Linked DNA regions of Mytilus edulis. The protein of the gene in region 1 purifies or fractionates together with the protein of each later gene. This does not show direct contact. Links are inferred from orthologs where the notes say so. Each region holds a gene or a part of one and is shown in the gene's direction. Other genes may lie near its edges. The genes, in order: E3 ubiquitin-protein ligase RNF123-like and ubiquitin-associated domain-containing protein 1-like.

What was found.
Region 2: the proteins of E3 ubiquitin-protein ligase RNF123-like (region 1) and ubiquitin-associated domain-containing protein 1-like purify together in Homo sapiens (affinity purification with mass spectrometry; 7 studies listed by BioGRID and IntAct, counting the BioPlex papers as one, with this or other methods). This does not show direct contact. The link is inferred for Mytilus edulis from reciprocal best matches to the Homo sapiens genes RNF123 and UBAC1.

The regions. Positions count from the first base shown.
Region 1 is NC_092344.1:2,886,115-2,890,054, reverse strand, and holds the start of E3 ubiquitin-protein ligase RNF123-like, read left to right. Parts: upstream 1-1,560; 5' UTR 1,561-1,726; exon of another isoform or gene 1,727-1,777; intron 1,778-3,932; exon of another isoform or gene 3,933-3,940. Other genes in the region: rab GDP dissociation inhibitor beta-like, read right to left, coding at 1,279-1,323. UniProt on the Homo sapiens protein: Catalytic subunit of the KPC complex that acts as E3 ubiquitin-protein ligase. Promotes the ubiquitination and proteasome-mediated degradation of CDKN1B which is the cyclin-dependent kinase inhibitor at the G0-G1 transition of the cell cycle.
Region 2 is NC_092345.1:75,269,589-75,273,528, reverse strand, and holds the start of ubiquitin-associated domain-containing protein 1-like, read left to right. Parts: upstream 1-964; 5' UTR 965-1,038; coding exon 1,039-1,294; intron 1,295-3,940.

The DNA.
Region 1 (3,940 bases):
TACTTCATTTGAAAGATTATTTTTTAAATGACAAAAAAATTGTTACGGTTACAGAAGCTACAGTTGTACTGCTTATTAAGAATTAGTATGGTTTGGTACAATCAGCATGATCAGTAACAATGTAATATATTTTTACTGAAAAAACTATCATACAAGTGGAAGTTTGATAAAATGTAAAATTTAAGCTGTAACAATCATAGACTCTCATAAATTTACAATGTTCACATTACTACATGTAGGTTAACTGTCAATACACAGCAGCGAGCTATGTGGTCTTTTTCCTCTGTAAATAGTACTAAATACCAATGTCACTCTAATATTTTTTTGTCAGTTAATTGTCTCAATACTGTATGCAATAACCATTTAATGCAAATGAACTAGTTCAAATTAATATTGTCTATTAAATTCATGTTATTTTATGTTAATTTGGACATAAAATTGCGACTGTCATACAAGTGAGAGGTTTAGCTAGCTATAAAACCAGGTTCAATCCACCATTTTCTACATTAGAAAATGCCTGTACCAAGTCAGGAATATGACAGTTGTTATCCATTCGTTTGATGTGTTTGGACTTTTGATTTTGCCTTTTGATTTTTGATTTTCCTTTTTGAATTTTCCTCGGAGTTCAGTATTTTTGTGTTTTTACTTTTTGTTATTGATAACTTGTTTTATTTTTATGACAATCATGACAATGTCCACTTGATCTTAACCAGATTTAAGTCTGTGTCAACTTAAATCAGAAGTGTCAGCTGTTTATTGAATAACTCCTTATAAAAGTAAACCATAAAGATGCTGACTCTTATACATGGAATGTATTGATTATTTGATTTGTGACAATATAGAGTAAGGGGGTGTGGCTTTTAATTAAAAAAAAATAATGTTAAGAGACATTCGAAATTTATTTATATCAAGCTTTAACTGACATATTTAACAGGCCTATAACATTTTATACATAAATCAGAGTATAAAAGGGCTTCTAATTACTGAAGCTTACAAAAATCAATACACCAAATGTATGTCGGCAGATCAGACTCCGCAGCTTTATTAGCGCTAGTTTATTATTAAACGGATTCTGAACATTTTCGCAATTAGATTGATCAATATAATATATCTAGCAAATTGTACATTTCATTTTGTGTATTGTAACCAAAACACATGATAATTTCAGTGATGACATCACACAAGACTGATGATAGACTGTTTTCTGATAACGACATTTATTACAAGAATTTATGTCTTTTTACACGTCTTATCTATTTGCTTAGCAAACGCTTATACCTTTAGTCCTGTTCCAAGAACAATAACATCATATTCTTCATCCATTGTGAATATTCTTCGTGAGAATGGTTTCAATCTGCTGATAAATACACACACCGGCGAAAATGGCCTCCCACGCGTAGTAATCTCAAAAGCATTATAATATTTGATATTTTCTTATTTTTTGTCTTTGCAATAGATAGATTAACATCCTTAGTTCAATTTTATTCTGATCCTTAAAATGGTTTGTTCTTTGCAAGTCGAATATTTATGCTGAAATGGATTTGAAAATAGTACTTCAGACGTAACCATTTCCGGTTAAATAAATTTGAGTTGTTAGGCACTTCCTGGTTCAAATCACTGGTCAAGTGTACCAAAACAAAACAAAAATAGGGTGATCTCTGCAAGAATATTTTAAAATGAATAGACTTATGACAACTTGATATTTATCAAGCCACATCTTATAGTTGTATGTTGACAAATAGTTTTCCATTATTTAGTAAATTTGCGTCGTAAAGTTGTGATATATTTAAAGTCCAAACAAAATTACTGTTAGTGTTACAGTTTAGCAGACGACGTGATGTATTTTGATTAAATTAGGCCAACATTTGATATTTTGCATGTTAAGTGTGCCTGCAAAACAAAACAAAAATAGGGTGACTGCAAAACAAAATAAGGAGGGATCAGGTTTTCCAAGTTTTCGTAGGCTTGTAACTTCTCAGTAAATCGAGATTTTCGATGAGTATGTGCCATTTTAAATAAAATTCTCAGTTACGAAAATTTAGTTTTTTAGCACTACCAAATGGTAACTCAAATGAACGACCCCATTTGGCGGGTTGTCCCCAATCTGTCCAAAGATATCATATGACATATAATCAAAAACACCACAATCCGGTGAAAAGAAAATTAAGGGACAATAGTCAATATACAGTCTTCATATAAAGGATAGTATTTAATTTCTCATCATGCTCATAGTGCCCAAAGCTAAAATAAATAATAATATTCATTATACATACAATGATCACAACCATTCTTTAAAACAATTGGTGCAAAAAAGATCAACATCAAAGCAATTAAAAATAAAAATGTCAATAGACTAATGTCTATTCAACATGTCATTGACCAGAGATTAATTTTAACTAAGTGTTTGTGTTTGAGACTATATATCTTGGATACTAATTGCAACAGGTCTACACTAAAGTTTGAATTTTGTTCGTTATTTAGTACATAAATTAGGCCAGTAGTTTTCTTGTTTAAATAAAATGTTATAGCTGCATGACTATGTGTAATGGGATTTGCTCATTGTTAATGGCCGTACCGTGAACTATAGTTGTTAATTTCTTTGTCATTTGGTCTCTTGTGGGGATTTGTCACATTACCAATCATACCACAGCTTCTTTTTTATATTGAAAGGTGTACATGACATGTACAATATCAGTTTGACTGGGTTCATTTGAACATGGCTTGACCTCATTTTCATGTCATATCATGGTTTATTGGTCAACATTCAGATACATGTACTATAAGCCATAGGTCAACTATAGTTAGTTTAAGTGTGTGACATGACTGTGAGGTGTTGATATATGTCTCGGGGCAACCATGAAATTCAAATTGAATAATTGTCTCTCTATATATATTAAATGCCAGTATGGGTAGTAGTGGCCAGTGGTTCTGAGAAAAAGAGAACGAGGAAGTTTTTAATGACCTTGATTGGCTATACAGCCCTTGCAGTTGCACGGTCTGTCTATCTATATCTTTTATATATTTTTTAACCAATTTGCTCTATTCTTATTTTCTTGCCCAGGGTTTTCTATTCTTTACTGTTCATCACCCCTTTAAACTGTTTTCTACATTTTTCTGTCTCTTTTTTTCTTCTAATCTTTACTTGTTTGCCCATTTTTCTCTCAACTATAAACCACTTTCATGTACATTCCAATTTATTCATGATAATTGAAAGAAGGATTTTTTAGACAAATTTTTTGTCATTCAGTTTTAAAAAAATTATTTCTTTATATTATTGAAAAAATAGTTAAATTGTTGTTGGATAAAGTCCTTGCTCTTTCTGTACCATTTCTTTAAAGACTGATTTTAGATGGTCATGCATTTCTTTCCCTATCAGCATATTTTTTACATGTCAATCCATCTTAAACCTGCAATATTGTATAAAATTAAAAAGACAATTTTTTTAAATGGGAATGGAAATGAGGTATAGAGGTCAAAGAGACAACAACCTGACCAAAGAGCAGAAAACAGCTGATAAGCATGTAAATGTAGTTACAGTAATGAACATTACACAGATTTAAATACTATGTATACACTCATCATGATTAAGTTTTCATAAATCATGCATGTAACTTTATGTTGAAGCTGGGGTTTGAGAAGTCAAATTAAGCTGTGAATAAATCGCAGCTCTAGATAATCAGACTCAGTAGCAATAAATGTTATAAACGATTTTGTTGATCTCAACCTGCCACTGTTTAGTGTATGAATTAAAGTATTCAAGGTTTACAATTGTACATGTCAAAGTGCATCTGACATTGACACACATAGGGATAGATGATAATGTTAAGCTTGTGTGTTAGCTGTTTGAATCTTTCTTAAGCCTTTCACTATAAAATTTAAGCACGATCAGTAAAGCAGCTTATTCACATATTGAATTGTGCATGATAATATAGTTGTCTGA
Region 2 (3,940 bases), on another chromosome or scaffold:
CTGGATGGGGGCGGGGTCTGTTATTCTGTAAACAATTAATTTTCACCCCTTTTTTCGCTAATCTTTAAAAAATTAACCCCTTTTTTCTCTAATCTTCAAAAAATTAACCCCTTTTTTTCTCTAATCTTCATTTTTTTGGCCCATTAGTCTCTAATCTTCATTTTTTAAGGGCATTATTCTTTAATCATTTAACCCCATCCAAACCCTCAGTTATTTCTATTCGTACCAGGTCAGAATATTCAGTCAATTTGAAGACCCCCCCCTGGCACCGCTGGCTCCGATAATCAAATGGTCATACCCTAATAGCAAATAAAATGATGACGCAATACTGAGAAGCAACAAAGATACTCAGTCATTTTCTCGATCTATACTGACTGAATGTTGGATATGAATTGATTTGTGCAGTCACTAGTGTCATAAATCTAAAAAAATATCATAAACTAGTCAACAAATATCAATAAAATCTCCAATACCTAATGGCATGCTGCATTTCGTATTCGATTCAGTTGATATTTGGATTCGGTTTTATTACAGCAAAAAGTGAACGAAATATCTATATCTTTTAAACACAAAAAAAAAATGACTTTTAGTGAATCAGACCCTCATTAGTAGAACTGTATAATGCTCATCATATATGTAGGTATTACATGCATCTATGGGCCTCGTGATGTCGTTGTATTTTTTTTGGTTTTTTTTTGGGGGGGGGGGGGGTATAGCTATGTCTTAAAGGATTTTTCACCTTTCTATGCGGGTTGCAGAAAAAAATATCAAATTTCAAATATCGATGTATTTTATTGATCCAAAGACGTTAATTTTAATCAAAACAAACACACACACAATATAACTACTAGCACTGCCATCATGGCACTCATCCTTTTTCACAACTGTCTTTCTTAAAAACTGAAGTCTGATTCAGAGAAAACGCGGATGAGAAACAGTTCTTATCCAGCATTGATTTCTAACTTCTTTCGTTGAGCTATTTCCGCTATAAACAAAAATCAAGATACGTCTTATTTCATTCATGATACTTTAATTATCATGTATGTCTCAGATTCTAATATCTTCCCTTCAAAGGGGATGAGAATAAGGATTTGCCATATGGATGGACGTAACTATGTGATCGACCTGAACTCAAATATAAAGATTGACGAACTAAAAATAATGTCTTTAAGTCACTTTAATGACCCAGCAGAAAGCATTAAAACTTCGTTGTACCACAAGGTTTTACTCGCAAGAACTGGTCAGGTGTTATCTGAAGAGAAAACGATATCAGAAGAAGGAGTAAAAGAAAATGGTAATGTGTGATAAGAATAAATCACCTCTATTAAATGCAAACGGCAAAAATATTCGAATTTCAAAACATTTTTAAGTCGTGTACCTCTTACTACATGTACATGGTCAACTTTTGTTGTCTCATCCTATGTCATATTGTGGTAATTTCTGTTTGATTCAAATTTAGTCATTAAGAATTTCATAAATACTAAGTACATTTAGGTATCAGGTTCGTTCGCGCCCAATACACTTTCGCACCCAATACACTTTCGCACCCTACACGTTCGCGCCCAATTTTAATTTAAATTCCAGTTGAATAATTGGAAAATCGTGATTGTTGTTATAAAATTATAAAATTGCTTTGGTGTAAGTAAAACATTCAAGATTTTAAATGAACAAAAGATAATTGTTTTTAACAGCTTGGTCCCTTTGATCTGAAACAATAAAATATAGCAATACACTATTATAACCAAAACATGATAAAAATTTATTAACACAAAAAAATAAAACGTTGACAGAATCCCACTTTATTTAGAAAGATTTATTTTTTTAACAATACCTGTGACATTTATAATACATATAATAATTGTATTATATGTCTCTGACAATACACTTATATCCAAAACATGATTAAAATGTATTCAACACAAAATTTTGAGACAATGACAACAAATATAAGAATACACTTGCCAAAACTTGATTACAAAGCTATAGTTATTAAACACAAAACCAATACACCTATCCATTCTCCTGCCAATCATCAGTTAATTGACCAATCACATGTGGTCAATTTGCCACATGTGTAAACATTTGATAGCAGCATGTGTTGTCGGACATAACCTCGGTCAAGCTTTCTTATCTGAACAGTTGATTTGATAGAATTTTTTTGATTTTTTTGCAATTAAACCATTAATTATATTGTTTTAGGGAAAGTTATCAAAGTAAGAGGGTAGAGGAAGGTGAAGTTGTCAATTTCCAACAAAAAAAAGGTTATTTCAATGAGTGAAACTAATTAATAAATCAATTAAAAAGGAATAGGATGGCAGTGCTTATTGATTTTAAAATATTGTTTACATGCTTATAGTATTTAAAACAAAAAATGATAAAAAAAATATATATTTTAAAACACAAGATTTCGATTGGTTTACAAATTGAATTTAAGAATTCAAATTGATATTTTTTTTCTCATTCATTTGAGAATTTATTATACTATAAAACATCCAAGTTAGAATGTGTTATTTCTTGAAAATCAAGGCCGTAACTACCCTTGAGGCAAGTGAGGCAATTGCCTCACTAAAATTTCGACACTGATTATTTTTTTTTATACATATATACAAATAAAATAGTCTTTTGTTGTTCTGTCTCAACCTTAATTTCTATAACTTGTCATCATTCCTTTAAACTATTCTTCCTGGATATAACTCAGCATCTCAACGGGTGATGTTTCTCAATTACATTAACCTAGTAACGATAATCATCATGGATCTCTGGTTAAAAACAGGCTCTTGCAGAAAAAGGAAAAGCGACACTGAAGGTAAAGAAGGAATAATTCTAGTAAACTAATTTGTTTGTGAACGTAGTCTGCGTATTGCATATAACTTCATTAGCACAATCCAAAAACGATAAGTAGACTGACAAATCAAGTAGTGGGCATCGCAAGGGGGCAGTCCTGTCTGTGTATTCATTTCTCCGTTTCTTCAACTTTAATCTTTCTCTTTACAGATAAATAAAATATAAATAATATGAAACATGCATGGATTAGTTTTTCATGATCCATGTTTCTCTAACCTTAAAAATTGAAAGAACATCCCATATTCCAATTTGACATTATTGAGGAATGGTATAGAACCTTTATCACAGGATTTTGTCTTTACTTATTCGGGACTACGGAATTTCATTTCTTTATATTCGGGGTTTCGGAATCAGACACCCCCAACCCCTAACCCCTAAATTTATAGATTCTGGAACTAAAATACCACCGACTATTTCCAGAAATAATTTGAAATTACGGACCTACATGTAAACGTCAAAACTCCATTTTAATTCCCCTGTACCCATATCATATATACTTACTCTATAGATAGATCATATACATGTATCTTATCTCATTCTATCCCTAGTTTGTTTACTCTTTGTCAGCATACAAGCGAGTTTAATATTTTGTAACTGAGACTGTATGATGATGCTAGCCTTTATAGGAAAGCTTAATTCCCTTTTGCAAACAAAACTGTTACTACCGATGCTGCTACCGAATTGCTGATGGAGAAGGAATTGGAAGAAGACATTGATCATTGTGTTGATGATAATGTGCTACCTTGAGAAACACAGACTGCCCTGAAACGACTGAAATCTAGGAAAAGAGCATACATGAGTGGCGAGAGGTTGTGCGGACTTGCCATGCTCCATGTTCATCGCGATAAGGATATCAGCAGACCAAAGTTATGATTCTAAAACAATTTGACTGAACCCACCATAGAAATAATTGGCAAACTCTACTGAATCGATGTTTGTTCTATGTTCTGGCGGCAGATTTAAATTGATATTTGGATGATTATCTTACATACAAATTCAAATAAAGTTGTTAAAAATTTGGTATTAGTAAAAGTCTTTAAATATGAACAATTTATATAAAAACTGTCCAAATTCAAAACATTATCAAACTCTCTAA